Canis lupus familiaris: one gene and its partner. The protein of the gene in region 1 binds, or shares a complex with, the protein of each later gene. Links are inferred from orthologs where the notes say so. Each region holds a gene or a part of one and is shown on either strand. Other genes may lie near its edges.

The links.
Region 2: the proteins of AP1G1 (region 1) and AP1S1 are in contact, whole or in part, in a crystal structure (PDB 1W63), measured with the Mus musculus proteins. The link is inferred for Canis lupus familiaris from reciprocal best matches to the Homo sapiens genes AP1G1 and AP1S1. Residues at the interface, in NP_001288140.1 of Mus musculus: Leu7, Arg8, Ile11, Arg12, Arg15, Leu54, Tyr55, His57, Met58, Gly60, Tyr61, Lys78, Phe79, Thr80, Arg83, Ile84, Leu87, Met90, Leu91, Asp94, Glu95, Thr115, Phe117, Leu123, Cys124, Gly127, Cys128, Tyr152, Lys155, Lys156; in NP_031483.1 of Mus musculus: Met1, Leu14, Arg15, Leu16, Gln17, Lys18, Trp19, Leu21, Ala22, Thr23, Asp25, Arg28, Lys29, Arg42, Lys45, Met46, Cys47, Ser48, Phe49, Glu51, Lys56, Gln74, Asp75, Asn76, Glu77, Leu78, Ile79, Leu81, Glu82, Leu83.

The regions. Positions count from the first base shown.
Region 1 is NC_049226.1:78,102,822-78,111,667, forward strand, and holds part of AP1G1 (AP-1 complex subunit gamma-1), read right to left. Parts: intron 5,396-8,846; coding exon 5,273-5,395; intron 5,101-5,272; coding exon 5,011-5,100; intron 4,417-5,010; coding exon 4,289-4,416; intron 2,959-4,288; coding exon 2,854-2,958; intron 2,197-2,853; coding exon 2,055-2,196; intron 1,868-2,054; coding exon 1,741-1,867; intron 1-1,740. UniProt on the Homo sapiens protein: Subunit of clathrin-associated adaptor protein complex 1 that plays a role in protein sorting in the late-Golgi/trans-Golgi network (TGN) and/or endosomes.
Region 2 is NC_049227.1:8,617,387-8,626,230, forward strand, and holds AP1S1 (AP-1 complex subunit sigma-1A), read right to left. Parts: upstream 8,625-8,844; 5' UTR 8,469-8,624; coding exon 8,466-8,468; intron 6,730-8,465; coding exon 6,551-6,729; intron 5,900-6,550; coding exon 5,791-5,899; intron 4,779-5,790; coding exon 4,641-4,778; intron 3,394-4,640; coding exon 3,346-3,393; 3' UTR 2,627-3,345; downstream 1-2,626. Other genes in the region: neurosecretory protein VGF, read left to right, coding at 1-1,209. UniProt on the Homo sapiens protein: Subunit of clathrin-associated adaptor protein complex 1 that plays a role in protein sorting in the late-Golgi/trans-Golgi network (TGN) and/or endosomes.

The DNA of each region.
Region 1 (8,846 bases):
GAAAATCAGAGGCTACTCAAAACAAGGTGGCAGCATATGAGTCCTTAAATCCCTCAGATTTTAGCTCTTTTCTCCTGTAAAGGAACAGTAAGTAGTTTTGGGAAATAACAAAAACTCACTGCTCCAGTTCCCCTAAAAGCACACACTAAATTTATTTCCTAATTTCTACTTACTTAAATTACTCTGCATTAGGATATATGACTGTAATGATGGCTTAAAGAATGTGAAACTCAAAAATGTTTAACCTAATAAAGAAAATGTGTTTGTTTTGTTTAAGATTTTATTTACTTATTTGAAAGAGAGATCATGAGCAAAGGGCAGAGGGAGAAGCAGTCTTCTCACTGAGCAGGGAGCCCAATACAGGACTCAATCCCAGGACCCCGGATCATGACCTGAGCCGAAGGTAGATGCTTTAACCGACTGAGCAGCCCAGGTGCGCAGGCAAAGGTGTTTAAAACACACTGTGAATAAGGAAAATCCAGGCTCTTTAACATTTTATTAGTCTTCTTCATATAACACTAGGAAAATAAAGTAAAAACAAAAACAAAACATTAAGACCTCCTGACAGGGCGCCTGAGTGGCTCAGTCAGTTAAGTCTCTGCCTTCTGCTTGGATCATGATCCCAGCGTCCTGGGATGGAGCCCCGCATCACATTGCATTGCATTGGGATCCCTGCTCTGCAAGGAATCTGCTTTTCCCTCTGCCTCTCCCCACTGCTTGTGTACATTCTTGTCTGAAATAAATGAATAAAATCTTTTAAAATTTTTTTAAATTAAAAAATTACAATTGTGAAGATTATGAACTAACATGGAAATGCTAATATATTAATAAGTGTATCATCTATACACTATGTTTTAACCAAGGAGTTGTTTTTGCTTTTCCATGTATCCAGTAGAGCTGTGGCATCTGGGGGATTGAAACTATTTGTGAATGACTCAAAAGTGTATAACAAGTAACATTTTGAATTTTACTAAGACATAAATATAAACCATAAGCTCTGGGAGGAAGCTGTTAGAAAAAAAATCACTTAATCTCTGATAGCCAGGCTAGATATCCTTCCAAAATCCTTATCCTATGGCTATTTTCTATTTGAGGTCATAATACGTAGTAATTCACCATTATACTTTTAAAGAAATCACTTTAGAAATTATGTGCTACAGTGATACACTTGGACTCAGGGGTTCATAATGTCACTGAATACATCAACAATTAACTAATGTCTACTACATATAAACAAACATGAGAAAAAAACATTCCCAAATGTAAAGTTGTATTTGAATATCATCATCAGGGACAATTTTTCCCTTCATTGCTTTATTAAGAGGAAGAGAGGAAAATACCTAAATATCTCTCTTCCCTCCACAAATGGCCTTGGCTCCTGAAACCAAATTATGAAAAAGAAACATAGAAAAACTGATGTTTTAGGACACTAACCAAAAGCAGAAGTGACTTGGGATATATTTCTTTTGTAGCCTGAAAGTCCTTTCTATCCTAAATACTATGAGAGCAATTTATCCTCCCAACATTAAATACTGGACTTTAAAGAATCTCTGTGAATTATCTCTAGAATACTAGCATGACAGTTTACAATCCAGATATTGTGAAGATTCTCTTCCCACTCCTGACTCAGCCTCCCCCCTCTTTAACTGATTCATGTGCCAGGAAGTCTATGTTCACTGTAGTTTTTCCCCAAGGCCTTTATCTCCAGCCAAGCATTAAATAACTCCAGTTTGGTCTCACCTGTAAGGTTGATGTCTCCCAGCAAATCAAGAAGTTCTCCACCAGCAGAAGCTGGTTTGCTTGTAGGTGCAGTTGGAATAACAGGTGTTATGTCATTTCCTCCCAACAAATCCAATAAATCATTGGCCTAAACAAGGAATAATATCTCAATTCATTAGTCATTTATCTAATCTGCATCTAAGGCAAAGCTCTTTCAACACTTAAAAATAAGGAAGAGAATCCTCAATCAATCCAGGAACGTTGAAGGCAATCAGCTGAGATACAGGTTATAAGGAACTGTTATAAGATTCCCAGATAAGCAAGTGAAAAGCTACCTGGCTGGTGGGCTGTGGCCCAGAAGGTGGTGGTTTGGTCTCTAGTGGAGCAGGTTCTGTCTCTCCATTTGTCTGCACAATCTCAGTAGGGCCATTTGTGGTCACTTTTTCCATGACAGGCATTCTCTCAAGCAGGGCAGACCTGGAAGAATCTGAAGTGGTTAAATTCTAGGCAGTTAACCTAGATTCCCTACCCAAGACAATCAGTGTTACTATATTAGAGCCAGACATGGACAGTTATCTCTGCTCCCCACCCTCTAAAACACACACTAGAATAGAAGGTGGATTACAAGAATACATGACCTAAATTCCTGACTGGATTAAGGGCAGGCGAGAAACCCTGAATAGACAAACTGTCCACCTAAATCCCGAGAGATGGGGATTTCTCAGAGGTACAGAAATTGGAATGAAAGAAAGGTAAATAAGTAGGTATTAGCCATTTCCAATCAAGAAGACACTGCATAACAGAAGTGGAAAAAAGACCATGCATCACAAAGTTAAATATTAGGACGAGATTCTCTTGAAAAAACACAACTCCCACTTCTTAACCAAATAACATGGAAAATGAAGCAAATATTTCACACCAAAAGAAAGGGGAAAAGGTGAATGAAAGGACACAGATAATTTACAAGGTAGACAGAAGAGAAGATGGACAAATAAAAGCAGACAAGCAATTAGGATTAAACAGAGTTGTGAAGTCCAGTAATAAAGCATGAGGAAGGAGTCTCCTTTGTGGATTATCAAGACAATCTGTTCACATGCTAACAGCCATATGCATTGATTAGTTTCTTCCACTTACCTCATATGGTCATATTTCTTAAAAAGTGCATTATATTCTACTGCCCTCTGTTGGAGTTCCACATCAATGCTGCTCCCATAGATGGAAACCACTTTCTTAATTCGGCTTTGGGATAAAATGACAAAAAAATTCAAATACCCAAAAGAAAGTTCGTAAACAAGCAGAGAGAACAAACAAACCAGTTTTCTGGTTAAAAATCCGAAATACTCCTCTTTCCTTAATTTACATATCTTTTCAAAGACAAAACACCTTTTTTTAATGTATATTTTTCTATTGGAGTTCGATTTGCGAACATACAACACTCAGTGCTCATCCCTCAATTGCCCCCCCCCCCAGTCAATTGCCCCCACCCAGTGCGCGTCACCCAGCCACCCCATCCTCCCCCCACCTCCCCTTCCACTACCCCATGTTCATTTCCCAGAGTTAGGAGTCTCTCCTGTTTTGTCTCCCTCTCTGATTTTTCCCACTTATTTTCTCTCCTTTCCCCTATAATCTCTACACTTTTCTTTTATCTTCTTACACCCAACATACACCTGAACACCATCATCTACCACTAGTACTTGTTCTGTTAGATGTCCCATACCTAAAATTTGCTAGAAAAAAGTATCAATTATTAATTTGTTACAAAACAAGTATATTAATGTTCATTCTCTTCTTTAACAACCTTACAATAAGCTTTTATCAACAAAAGGTTATTACCTGACAACAAATTCTTCTAGTTCACCATTTAAAGGGTTAGTTTTCACAGAACTACAGAAAGTCTAAGAGAACTAAGTTTGCTTTAAATATGTCTGGCTGAGAAACTAATCCAATTGACTTTCATTCCAAATAGTGAAGAGCAGAATTTAAACATTTAACGAACCACCCAAACCTTTGTGATTTTCTTCCTCTTCAGATACCTCAAAATATTATAATAAACCAGAACCCTTATAGAGGGAAGTAACTACTCTACTTTAAAAAAGAGAAAAGGCATTAGATATCTGATTTTATTTTTTGTAAGATTTTATTTATTTATTCATGAGAGACACAGAAAGAGAGAGGCAGAGATACAGGCAGAGGGAGAAGCAGGCTCCAGGCAGGCAGCCTGACATGGGACTTGATCCCAGGTCTCCAGGATCACGCCCTGGGCTGAAGGCGGCACTAAACCGCTGAGCCACCCGGGCTGCCCAGATACCTGATTTTAAAAACAAAAACAAAAACAAAAAAACCCATAACTTTTTATCTTTAAAATAATAAATGGTGGGATGTGGGAAACAAGGGAGTAAAGTATAGATAAAATAAGGATGAACCATAAATTAATGATTATTACTGTGGAATAAGAGTTATATATGATTCATTTTACGACCCTATTTTGCCTTTCCTTTAAATTTTCTATAATAAAGAGTTTTAAAAATTACAAAATAACATGTTCATCCTACTTTTTCTCCATACTCACTTTACAGTACAGGTGAATCGGGTAGAAAGCTTCATAATGGCAGTGAGAGCATAACCTCGGGTCACAGAGGTGGACATATTAGAGATTAGAACACTCTCTAAAATATCCAACACTTCATCTTCTGTTACCTGGGGAGAAAAAAAAAAAAGTCAATATCTAAATCTGATATCAAGTCACAGGATGCCACCAGAAAGACAACCCTACCATCGTTACTAAAACTCTAACAACTATCTGTGCTTTGCCACAGTAACTGTCCAAGCTGATCCATCAATCAGAAGCAGGTAGGAGATTTAAAAAAAAAAAAAAAAAAAAAAAGAGTGGAAAATACCCACTGGAGGCTGAGAGCCATATTATATTAATTGCAAGAGGCAGAAGTAAAGAAGAAAATAAAAAGATAAATAGAGTACAAGTGTTGTTGCTACCACATCTCCTAAAACCCAGTCTTTTAATAAGCAAATGCTGATATGGATAGGTCTCATTTCTTATCAAGCCACAGCGTAGGAGAAACAATATAATTCAGTCTCATATCGTAAGGAGTAGGTTCTATCCCGACACAGTAAGGATAGTAAGTTCTATCACAAAAACTGCCAAGTTTCCCAATAGAATTCTGGCATTAACTTCTTTAACAGGTTTCCACGGAATCGACCTCAACTCATAAAACATTATCCTCCTATAACCAAAAACACTAGTTTCTCCCCTCCTGAGAGAGTAGCAAAGGGTACCTGAATAGGTTCTTCCTCTTCACACTGGCCTGATACAAGAAGATCTCCATATTCACCTATACACCATGCAGCCACTTGTACCAAAGGTTGCTGTCAAAACAAAGACACCATTTGTCAAAGGCTTTCAATCCTTGCAAAGATTAATGCAAATCCCAGGTCATCTAATCATAAAGGTCAAAATCAAGGCACATCTAGAGTGTTAGTAACAAGAACACACAGGAACGTAATGGGTAATTTCCCTACCAAAGTAAAAAGTACCTACTTGAGAATAATCACCAAGAATTGCTTTGTACAAGCGCTGGACAGTATAGGCATGCATCTCCACACTATTGGTTATTAACTGGATCAAGTTGGGGACTGCATCATCACGAACGTAGCTTCCTGCCTAAAAAGAAATGCAGTTATCCTTAAAACACACTACAATGATAAGAAATGTTAGCTATTGCTTTTATTCAAAGAAGACTGCTACGAAATATCCTCAAAGATAAAACGGGTTCCGATTCTCAGGTTCATATGCAGCTCAAACTTCAAAGTCTTATTCAGATGACTTCCTTATTTAAATGAGTATTCTAAGTTTTCAAATTTTAAAAAAAGTAAAAAAAAATCTCCTTTGTAAAAGTAAAAAAAAAAAAAAACAAAGGATTAAAATTTTAAGAACTTTTCTATTTCAAAATAGATTATTAGGTTTAAGATTTCAAAAATGTAAGAAATGCAGTAACTGGGAACTTAATTACAACAACCTCTCCCATCTCACAACTCTTCAACACAGTTAAAATCATATGGGCTAGCTACAGAAACCAAACTACTCTGGAGGATGGAGAGGAGAGTGTACGTCAACAGTCCAAAAGGACAGCATGTTAAAATAAGAATTAAATAAACTGTAACCTTTTTAAAACTTCAATTTAAAACATCGCACTGTCCTTTAGAACTATAGTTTATAAAAATTACAGAACCATTCATCCCAGAAAGGTCAAAAATATTTTGTATTTAATCATCCACACTTTAAAAACAAAAACAAATCTAGTCTCTTTAATGTCCTCTTTACTAGTAGAATCTAAGATACTATTTGCAACCATGGAACAAAGTAAAGTTATTCAACCTGTGAGGAAACTAAATCTTGGCCTTGTCAGAGCATTATGATAACCAAGTTGTGTAGGACACAAACAGTGGAATCTGTGCCTGATATCAGCCCACCTTGATCAAGCTCCCATTACTGGACAGAGGAACAGGTCTGATTTACAAGAATGAGACCAGGAAAAAGAAAAGGAAAAGGAAAAGGGGAGATGGGGAGAGGGGGGGAACAGAGAAGAAAAAGAAAAAAACCTCAGGTGACTGGGATGCCCACACCTACTAGAAAAACACAAAGAGGAAGAAGTTTGGGAAAATGGTCAAAAAGGAACAGAGAGAAGCTAAAAAGTAATTTGTTTTATATTCTTCCCCAATGGGAAAAAGTAGTGTTTAAATAAGAGAAAGCATCGATATGATCTAAATGACATTTATACACCACTTTATCCAATAGCAGAAAACTCCTTATTCTCAAGCTCCAATGGAACATTCACTAAAGACAGACCACATTCTGGGCCATAAAAAAAAACCATCTCAAATTTATTTAATTAAAGTAGGTTCCAAGTCCAACATGGGGCATGAACTCATGACCCTGAGATCGAGAGAGTCACATGCTCACTGACTAAGCCAGCCAGGGATCCCAGAAACATCTCAAATTTAAAAGAAAAAAGCTGAGGGGCACCTTGATGGGCTTAGTTAGCTAAGTGTCGGCCTTGGGCTGAGGTCATGATCCCGAGGTCGATTAAGCGGCAGATTGGGCTCCCCACTCAGCAGGGAGTCTGCTCCTCCCTCCCCCAGCTTGTATTCTTATTCTCTTCTCCCTCTGCCCCTCCCTCCCCCAGCTTGTATTCTCTTTCTCTCTCAAATAAATAAGTAAAATCTTTTTAAAAATAAATAAAAGAATAAAAGTCATACAGGACTTAATTAGAAATCAAGAACAAAGATAGCTAAGAAACCCCAAAATATTCGGAAATTAAACAACTAAACAACACTTAGGTCAAAGAAAATTATAGACCAGTATCTCTCATGAATACGGATGTAAAAATCCTTAAAAAAATATATCAGCAAATCAAATACAACAATGTATAAAAAGAACTGTACAGCACAACCATGTGGGATTTATTCCAGGTATGGAAGGTTAGTTAGTTCAACATTCAAAAATCAATTAATTTTTGATCCAGCACATCAATAGGTTAAAGAGGAAAAATCACAAGACCATAATAAGATTACCTAAGTCAACTGGAAAAATGAAAAGTAGGAGCATTAAAAAAAGAATGGTTTAAATTTTGACAACACTTTTCTTCAGGAGCTCTAATTGTTCTCTTCTTTTGAGCCTTACAGAAACTAATAAACTGTATCCTGATTCATACCTTTTGTTAAAATATAGTTTTCCCATTAAGTGCATTTATTAACATTTTTACAAAATTAATTCAAATAAACTAGAAAACTAGCATGTCACAGACAGAATTCCACAGCAACAAGCATACATACACACACAATTTTAACGATATCATTCCTTCCTACAGATGTTTTATAACTTGCTTAACCAAGGACCATTTGCAGACTTGTAGTTTTTCCCAGTTTTCTCCCATTAAAAAACAAGATTGGGATGAACATCTTTGTATATACATTTTTGTATACTTGTTGTCCTTGAATTTTTCCAAGATAAATTCCTAAAGAGAATTGATGAGTTAAAAGGTACCAAAAAAAAAAAAAAAAAAGGTACAAACTAGGGGCGCATGGGTGGCTCGGTTAAGTGTCTGACTCTTGATTTTGGCCCACGTACCCGAGTATAATTCTAGAAAGGTGGCAACATTTTATACCCACTATGAAGTGGAGAGTACTGCCTATTTCTTCATTTCCTAATTAACACTAGGAATTAGATTAAAAAGTATGACAAGTAAAAAAGGATACCTCACTTATAATTTTACTATTTCTTTATTAATAAGGGTATTTTTCAAAATTAATTAGCCATTTCTTCTTTTGTGAAATGTCTGTTGAAATGTCAATTTTTCCATTACAATGTTTGATTTTTCCTATTAATTGTAAATTATTTATAGATTAAAGATATTAACATGCTGTCATATGTTACAATATTTTTCTCCTAGTTGCCTTTGCCTTTTAACTCTGTAGGTTTTTTTTCCTTTTGCTATGTGTGTTTCAATTTTTAATGTGATAAATCTGTGAAAGTTTCCCTTTATTGCAGCTATTCCTGGTGGCAACAATTACACATAGCAGTTATGTTTTCTTTAAATGTCACTGTTCGGGATCCCTGGGTGGCGCAGCGGTTTGGCGCCTGCCTTTGGCCCAGGGCGCGATCCTGGAGACCCGGGATCGAATCCCACATCGGGCTCTCGGTGCATGGAGCCTGCTTCTCCCTCTGCCTGTGTCTCTGCCTCTCTCTCTCTCTCTCTCTGTGTGACTATCATAAATAAATAAAAATTAAAAAAAATAATAATAATAAAAATAAAAAATAAAAAATAAAAAAATAAATGCCACTGTTCTTTCATTTTGATTAAATCTGTAATGCCTATTAACTGAATGATAAACAGGGAAGCTCTAAAACTCTGGACAACTGCCAAAGAAAGAATATCTTATAAAACCATAATTTTAAATCCAGAATAAATTTATTCATTCAAAACCCTCCAATGGCTTTTTTAAAAAAACAAAAAACAATTTCCAAACTCCTCTGAGGACCTATATAATCTAGTCCCTGCTTCAGTCCTACTGTTCTCTGCCTCTCATGCTACTGGCTTCATTCATTTTCTTAA
Region 2 (8,844 bases), on another chromosome or scaffold:
GCGCGCGTCCCGGAGCGCGCGCCCCTGCCACCCCCAGCTCCCCCGCAGTTCCAGGCGCGTATGCCCGAGAGTGGGCCCCTTCCTGAAGCCCACCAGTTCGGGGAAGGAGTGTCTTCCCCCAAAACACATCTAGGTGAGGCATTGGCACCCCTCTCCAAGGCGTACCAAAGCCTGGGTGCCCCTTTCCCCAAGGCGCGCCGTCCGGAGAGCTCACTCCTGGGCGGCTCTGAAGCGGGGGAACGCCTTCTACAGCAAGGGCTGGCGCAGGTAGAGGCCGGGCGGCGGCAGGCGGAGGCCACACGGCAGGCCGCGGCGCAGGAAGAGCGGCTGGCGGACCTCGCCTCCGACCTGCTGCTCCAGTATTTGCTGCAGGGCGGGGCCCGGCAGCGCGGCCTTGGGGGTCGGGGGCTGCAGGAGAAGGAGGAGGAGCGAGAGAGCGTGAGGGAGGATGCGGAGGCGGAGCAGGAGCGACGCGGCGGGGCGGAGAGGGTGGGGGAAGAGGATGAGGAGGCGGCGGAGGCGGAGGCAGAGGCGGAGGAGGCGGAGAGGGCGCGGCAGAACGCGCTGCTGTTCGCAGAGGAGGAGGACGGAGAAGCCGGAGCCGAGGACAAGCGCTCCCAGGAAGAGATGCCCGGCCACCGTCGTAAGGAGGCTGAGGGGGCAGAGGAGGGCGGGGAGGAGGAGGACGACGACGAAGAGATGGACCCTCAGACCATCGACAGCCTCATCGAGCTGTCCACCAAACTCCACCTGCCCGCAGACGACGTGGTCAGCATCATCGAGGAGGTGGAGGAGAAGCGGAAGCGGAAGAAGAACGCCCCTCCCGAGCCCGTGCCGCACCCCCGGGCCGCCCCCGCCCCCACCCACGTCCGTTCCCCGCAGCCCCCGCCCCCTGCCCCCGCCCCCGGCCGGGAGGAGCTGCCCGACTGGAACGAGGTGCTCCCACCCTGGGATCGCCAGGAGGACGAGCTGTTTCCCCCCGGGCCCTACCACCCTTTTCCCAACTACATCCGGCCGCGGACACTGCAGCCGCCCGCCACCTCGCGCCGCCGCCACTACCACCACGCCCTGCCGCCTTCGCATCACTATCCAGGCCGGGAGGCCCAGGCGCGGCGCGCGCAGGAGGAGGCGGAGGCGGAGGAGCGCCGGATGCAGGAGCAGGAGGAGCTGGAGAATTATATCGAGCACGTGCTGCTCCGGCGCCCGTGACCTGCCCGGGTCCCGCCCCCGCGCGCCGCAGCAGCGCGAGCTGCCACCCCCCCTCCGTGTTACACCCCTCCCCTCTCGATGTTTGCATGCTTCCCCCTGCCCCGCCCCCGGCCGCCTCCCGGCCCCGCCCCCGCCCTTGGGTCGCCCCGCCCCCGGGCTGCTCTGGGACCTGTCAGACCGCTTCCTGGATTCGAAGCCCGAACTCCCCAAACTCCCTCGAGGAGGCCCCCGGGGCCACCCCAGACGGGCGGGTGGTTTGAGCGAATTCCCTCCCCCCCTACGGGCCTCTGTCCCTACCTAGTCCCTCTAGGGACGTCCCCGTCCAAAACCGGAAAAAGCTGTTCCAGTTAATTGTGTGAAGAAGTGTTTGTCTCCCGCCCTTTGGGCCTCCCAGGAGCCTCTCCGCCCTCTCCAGATCGCTGTGAATTTACCTATTCTTTCCCTTCTCTGTTGTAAATACCCCTCACGGAGGAAATAGTTTTGCTAAGAAATAAAAGTGACTATTTTATTAGGACTTTGTTCTCCGTTATTCACCCGTCCCCTTGGGCCTCCGTGGTCCTTCCCAAGGGGCGGTGAGGGAAGCGCCAGCCACAACAACCAACTCCTTCTGTTCAAAAGCGAGGGTGGTGGAACCACTTTCAACCGTATTTAAGAGCAGAGTATGGCCTGTACCTGTTAAGAAAGCCTAAATTCCACTTCTAGCTTGGAGGTGGTGGAGGTAGTCATTGGTTCCCAGAGAGGGGCAGCTCCAGGACACTTAGAAAGCTGTTCTATCCATGATCCTCCAGCCACTTAGTACTGGTGGCTCCTCACAGTCCCTGTTCCACCTCATCCTGTCACCTCCCTTAACTGCCCCCTATACTCCCTGGTCCTGGGCACTTTACAACAGGGAGGAGGAACCTCCAGCTACAGAGACGCCCTGCTTTTCACCACTTCTAAACACTTTGGTGAACATACAGGGTTGGATATGCCCTTGAACCCCTGGTTTCTCTCTCCAAATACAACTAAACCAGCTGAATGAAATCTTCCACAAAGAAACCTCCCAGGAGTGAAACCATGTCCCCAGGAGCTGTTTCACCCTGGCCAAAGGCAGCTGGGTAGCTGGAGGCACCATGTTCAAGAGAGGCAATGAACTGACAAATCCTTTTGGAATAGGGGTGCCAAATAAATTACAGGAAGCTCAGTTAAATTTTCACTTTTGATAAACAAGGAATCTATTTGTATAGGATACCCTTATCCTAAAAATATTATTATTCTAATTGAATGAGGTGTCCTCTATATGTGTGTGTGCATGTGTGTGTTGTGTGTGTTTCTCTAACTCTGGCAATCCTATTTCGGAGGAGGTAAATGGGCAGTGTTCCCATGAGTGCTGATCCCAGGGTCCTTTCATTCCTTCACAGAACCTAAGCAGGCAAAGTCCAGAAATGCTTTTCCTTTTATTTCAGAAGAAAGGAAATAAAGTCAGATGCTTCCCACACCCCACCCCTTAGCTCCTGCCTCACCCAGAACATGGAGTGAAGGAGGGACAGTCTCCCATAAAGCCTGCCCTTCCCCCAACCCTCACTTCCCTCAAGTGGTAAGGTTAGAAAAAAATTAACCATGTTGTTCCTCCCCTGGCACTGGACAGAGTCCCCACTGCGGCCGAGGACCGAGGACGAAGAGGGTAGATGAGGACTCTCAGTACTCAGAAATCCCCCCCACCTGCACCCCAGGCAGAGAAGCTGCCCTGGCTGGCTACTGGGGCAGGGTGGAGGTAGGTTATGGGGCAAGGGAGAAGAGAAGAGCCCTGAAAACCTTTTCCCTTTAACCTGACGTATTTATATATTTACAGTTAGAAGGGAGGGGAACAAGTTTTAGGTAACATTAGTTCTTCAAAGGCAGGGAATGAAAGCCAAATAGCACCCCCATTTTGGTCACATTTTCCTACCTCCTAAAACCTTCATTGGGGAGAGGGGAAAGAGGAGATACAGGTGGAGGGAAGGAATGTTTGAGGGTCCCAAGCCCACAGCTCACTCCGAAAGAAGGTGAGGCAGCAGAGGAGGGGCAGCTGGGTCCCACCAAGAAAAGGGGCACTCATGCCCTGCCTCTCCACCAGCTCCCCACAGCTCCACGAGGCCCAGGCGGGAGGGGGGGGGGCTATGCCAGACCCATCTCCTCCAGCACACTGCGAGGCGACTCATCCTCCTGAGGCAGGGACAGAGAGTGACGCAGAGACACCAGGACAGGCAGACAAGGAATGTGGGCAAGACAACGACAGTCACACGAGGGGGGGGGGGGGGGGTAGTACAGAGAGACACAGGGAGGGGAGAGAAAAGCCAAAGTGAGCTCAAGGTTAGAACAGCTAGGGACCCTTCAGGGGAGCTGCCCAGTCTCCAGGGACTACCCTCTAGAGCCAACTGTGGTAAGGAGGGGGTTCTGGTTGAGTCCACCACCACCCAGAAAACCTAAAACCAGAAGCTTGGGGAGCAGGGGGCTCATTCTTGGTCTCTGAGGGGGAAAGGGAATGAAGCTGGGGCTGAGGGGTGGGAAGCCTGCTTTCTGGAGATTGGGGGTACCAGGTGCCAGATGGCCGGGTCCTTGTATTCAGAGTGGGGGCAGGGAGTAATAAATTGGCATCAAATCCCTGAGGGAAAGTGAACCATACTGCAGAGAAATGAGTCATTAGGGTCTGAGCAGAGCTCTAGTAACAGGGGTAGGTGTATGTGCCAGGCACTGTGTGTGTGTGCATGTGTATGTGTGTGTGTGTGTGAAGGGGAAGTTGGACCAGTGAAGTGGCAAGTTCAATTCTGCCCTTTCTCCTTCTGCAGAGATGAGCCCCCATCTCTCCCCCTCCTCAGAGCCAGCTCAGGCCAGCTTGCTTGTCATTGCAGATTCCGGTGACTCATCTCCCTGCACCAAGTCTCAGCAGTGGCACAGCAGAGAGGGGGCAGGCAGTAATGGGGTGAGGGCGGGGGTGTTGGATAGCAGGAGAACCAACAGCCAGGCACCCTCAACCGCAACCCCCAAACCCCCGCAGCCCTTTGCTTCTGTGGAGCAGAGGCTTTTGAGTGTACGTGTCCTTGTGTGTTTAAAAAGGGGGTGGGGGAGACACCAGGGAAAAAAGAATTATCTCTCAAGTGCCCCTCTCCAATTCCCTGAGCAGTCCTAAATGCCCAGAGAAGGATGGGACACAGAGGATTTGGCTGGGATGAACACCCTGGGTCTTGGGGGAAGGAGGGAGAGCTGGCACAGGCAGGCTACCTGCCACCAGGACCTCCCATGCTGAGCAGTCAGTGCTTGAGGGCAAGCTGGCCAACTGGGCGCCGTGGGGGCGGGACACCACAGGGAGGGGGGCCCCCTTGGCGGCTGGAAGGGGGCAGCCATGGGTGGCAGGCAAGGTGTCCAGGGAAGGGAGGGTATGCTTCCTCCTCCTCACTGTCCTGGGCCCGTACCTCCTGCAGCAGGTCAGCCTGCTCGATGGCCTTCAGCACACTCTTCTTGGAGGTGTCCTGGACATCACCCCCCATCAGAAACTCATCCAGGATGAAGTAGGCCTTCTCAAAGTTGAAGATGATGTCCAGTTCGCACACCTGGGAGGACAGAGAGAAGGCAGAGTTGAGTGTCAAGGGGCATTTGCATCCCACCTGCACCCTAGCCGCCTGCCTCTTTCCTTATCATGGCTCCACGTTCTTCTTGACAACTTCTCCCACCTCCTGCTCTTGCCCCAGGTCTATGATCAACTCCCTCCCTCCGCCACCACCACCAATCCCTAGGCCTTAGTACCTTGACTTTTCCTTCTCTCCTCTTGCCTTTTTCTCTGTGAACATGGAATATTACTTGCCCTAATCTACCCTTGACTGTGGTTCCTGCTGCTTTTCCCCCCAAAATCTGTGACACTGTTCCCATAGGGGCCAGGCTAGCCTCTCTCCCTGGGCACTACAGGGCAGGGAAGGAAGAGATTCTAGATCCTGGGCAGAAAGACTTGAGTTCCAAGCAGGGCTCTGCCACTACGCAGCTAGATGGACATGTCGTTTCATTTTTCTGAGTTTGTTTTCTCATCTGAAAATTGAGATAACAACACCTACTCACAGTATTAAACGAGGAGCAGACACAAGAACCTGAAAGCACTTTGTAAACTGTTAAGTGGGGTATATGTGATGGAGTTATTACTCTTCCCCATCTAAGATCTGAGCTGACTATCAATGCCCAGGCTATACCCCAGTTCAGTTAACCCAGAATTGCTGGGCATGGGACCCAGGCATCACTGATTAAAAAACAAAAACCAAGAAAACCCCCCAACACTCCAGAATAATCCAATGCAAAGTCAAGTCAGGAGCCAGTGATAAAATCTGAATGTGGTCTTCGTCCTTTTGAGACTTCTGAGCTGAGCTCTAGATGGACTGATTCTGGTGCACACCCCTCCCCTGGGCTGATTAAGGGATATGGCTAATAGGCTTATGGTTTAAAGAAGGGAATTAATTACTGTTCTCACTACTCCAACTCTGCCTCTTCTAAATCTTCCAGGCAGAGACTAGAAGGGTCCCGGGGTTTGGTAGGAAGAGGGGACTGCTGGGTACGAACAGCGTGGGTGGGGAAACTTACACTGCCGAAGTATTTGTCCAGGAGCTCCACATACCGGTGGATCAGCTCCAGCGTGATGAGCTCATTGTCTTGGCCCTCAATGGCACAGCAGAAGTAGAGGCTGGCATATCTGAGGACAGGGGCACACGTGGGGTAGCTGGAGGCGCTGCTGCATCTGCTTCAGGATCCAGGCTTCTTGCACCCAAACCTCCCATTCCTCATTCCCAGCGCAGGGTCTGGTGTCCATTGGACATAGGCGGGGTGGCCCCAGGGTATGCAAATAGTAACAACTCACTCCGTCTCTTGGTGACTCTCACAAACGGAGGCTAACACAAGCTCTTTCCCTTTGCCCTCTGACCTGTTCAGTTTGACTCAGCAAAAACCTGAGCCAAGTAATCCACCTGCTCAGAGAAGGAACTGGACAGGGTGTGTCTGTGTGCGCGTGCGTGTGCGTGTGTGTGTGTTTGGGGAAAGGTGGTGCAGGATCTATCACTGTCGAATGAGGGAGGCTGCAAGGGACACGTACGATGAACAGGATAGGGCCTTGGTGACAGAGGTATGTGCGTAAAGTAGGTGTCAGGCATGAGCAAAACAAACGGGGAGCAAAACAAAGAATTTCTTCAAGGTAAGTTTGGAAATTGAAGGAAGCTGGAGTCCATCACTGACCTCCAGATGTCCTTAGCTCCCTGTTCTCCCTGACCTTATTTCTCAGCCATTTGAACCACCGCCAGACCCCCACCAAGCAGGATCCAGATAGCTGTGAAAGTAGGCGGCAAATCACCTCTTATAGACGACTTTGAGATCCCTCCACTCCAGGAAGCTGCACATCTTGGGCTTGCGAGCCAGAACAACCTGCATAAGCTCCCGGACCATTTTCTTTCGCTCCTTGTCTGATGTGGCCAGGTACCATTTCTGCAGCCGCAGCTTTCCCTGCCGGCTGAACAGCAGCATGAATCGCATCTAGGGGGCAGGGGCAGAGCTGAGGGTCAGAGATTCTGTTCCCTGGTTTTGTTTACTCCATAAACACAGTCATACATGCGTCCTACAAGTGCAGCTAACCCCTGTCCATTCACAGCTCCCACTGGCTTCAAAAATCAGCCCTTGCTGGTCAACTCTGAGTATCCCCACCAGCAGGTGCCTTTACTTCTGGGGGCATGTCTGAGCTTTGGAGTCTGTCATTTGGGTTCAAATCCTCCTGGCTCCAGGAGTTGAGAAATTTGCCTTGGGCAATTATTTTACCTCTCAGGGCCTCAGTTTCCTGGTCTGTATAATGGATGTAATATAAGTACCTACCTGTTTGGAGGGATTAAATGAGTTGATATATGCAATTGTGCCTGTCACATGGTAAGCATTGGAACACAATAGGTGTCACTATTATCATGCCTTCATCTCTTGTTTCCTACCTCTGCCTTCCAAAGGTCAGTCAAATGCCCAGCACAGTGACAAGCAGCTCATAGATGAAGTCAAAGAGATGTCTGCTTTCTTCTGTGGTCCTTCTATCCACCACCATCCCGAAATGAAGGATTTTGTCTCTCCAGAAGCTACTTCAATTCTCCACCCCATCCTGGCCATACACCCTTGTGGATATCCCCAATACACTGCCCTCCAGTGCTAGTCATATGCCCAGGGGTAGATTCCACCCTCTCCTCTCCTCAACCATCCAGGCCTCTGGCCACTGACAGTCCTCTCTTTTTTTCCTTCTCGGGTGCCTCTTGCTATGCCCCCACTCCTCTTCAGATACCAGGTGACCAATTTCCCTTTCAGTTCCTTGGTTAAGGACACCATCACCCAGGGTGGTTCCCGAAGCTTTGTGAAACAAAGTGCACGCTGAGTAGAGTGGGGAGGAGTGAGGAGCCGTCACTACCCCGTGCACCCGCAGCTTTCAGTTCCAGGGGGTCCAGGCTACATCCTGGAGTTAGCTCCTCCCTGGACATTACCACGGCTGGAATCCGTGGGTGTTTGACACAGTACTTGCTTAGGAGGCTAGATCAGAAATCAAGGGTTTGGGGTGGTGGGGAAGGGGACACGCTGCTAGCGTGACGGGAGGGCAGCAGAGGGGCGCTTGGGAGCCCTGCGTGTCTGAGACTGGGGGGCGGGGAAGCGGGAAGCCAGCAGGAAGACGGAAGGCCTGGGCTCCGGAAAGAGAATGGGGTGGGGGACGGAGAGCCAAGAGCACGGGGTCTGGGGATCCGAAGCCTGGGTCCTGGAGAGCAAGACCTCGCGTCCATTTGGCTTTCCCACCTGCGATAAACCGAGGCAGGACGTCCACTCCTCGGACCCGGAAACTCTCCCCTCCCACACAGCCTCTGCTCTGGGCTGCACCCGAACAGAGGGTCTTGTGACCCGCCGCCCCCCGCCGCCGGCAGGCCCCGGCGCCCCTCTTCCTCGGGCGGACCTCCCTGCGGGAGTGAGTGGTCGGGACCCCTCGGACCGCCACCCGCGCGCTCCCCCAGCCAGGCTCGGGACGGTCCCGCCGCCCCTAGTCAGCCCCCTCTCGCCCCACAAACGCGCCTCCTCCCCGCCCCTTCTCCCTAAAGCCATTTCCAGCTGCTGTTCCTTCCGAGGCCGGCTGGCCCCCCCGCCCGGGTACGTGGGGCCTCCGAGGACCGTAGGAAGAGAGGGCGGCCCCCGAGGACCCCCGCAGGTGCAGCCCACGCCCCTCGGTTCCCCCTCCCCTCCCTCTCCGCACAGCCTACCATCCTGCAGCCTCCGGCTCGGCGCGACCCTCTTCGGCCACCGTACGCGCCAGCTCCACTCCCTTTCTTACCCTTTCTCCTCCTTCCCTCCCTCTTGCCTGAAGCCCCGCCCCATCCCGCCCCGGCTCGGAGGCCCTTGGAGGGGCGGACTGCGCAGGCGCCAGCGCTGCGGGGCGCGCGGGCGGGGCTGGAGGCGGAGAAGCGGAAGCCATGGCAACCAGGTCCTCGACTTCAGCTTTGAGTAGCTCTGTCGTCATGGTAACAAGGCCGTCTGGTGGGCAGGTTGGAGGATGGGGGAGGAGGACAATGAGGTCCTCGCGCTTCGGAACCTTGGGGGGAAAAAGGCGGGAAAAGGAATGAGAGGTGGAGGGGACGACCA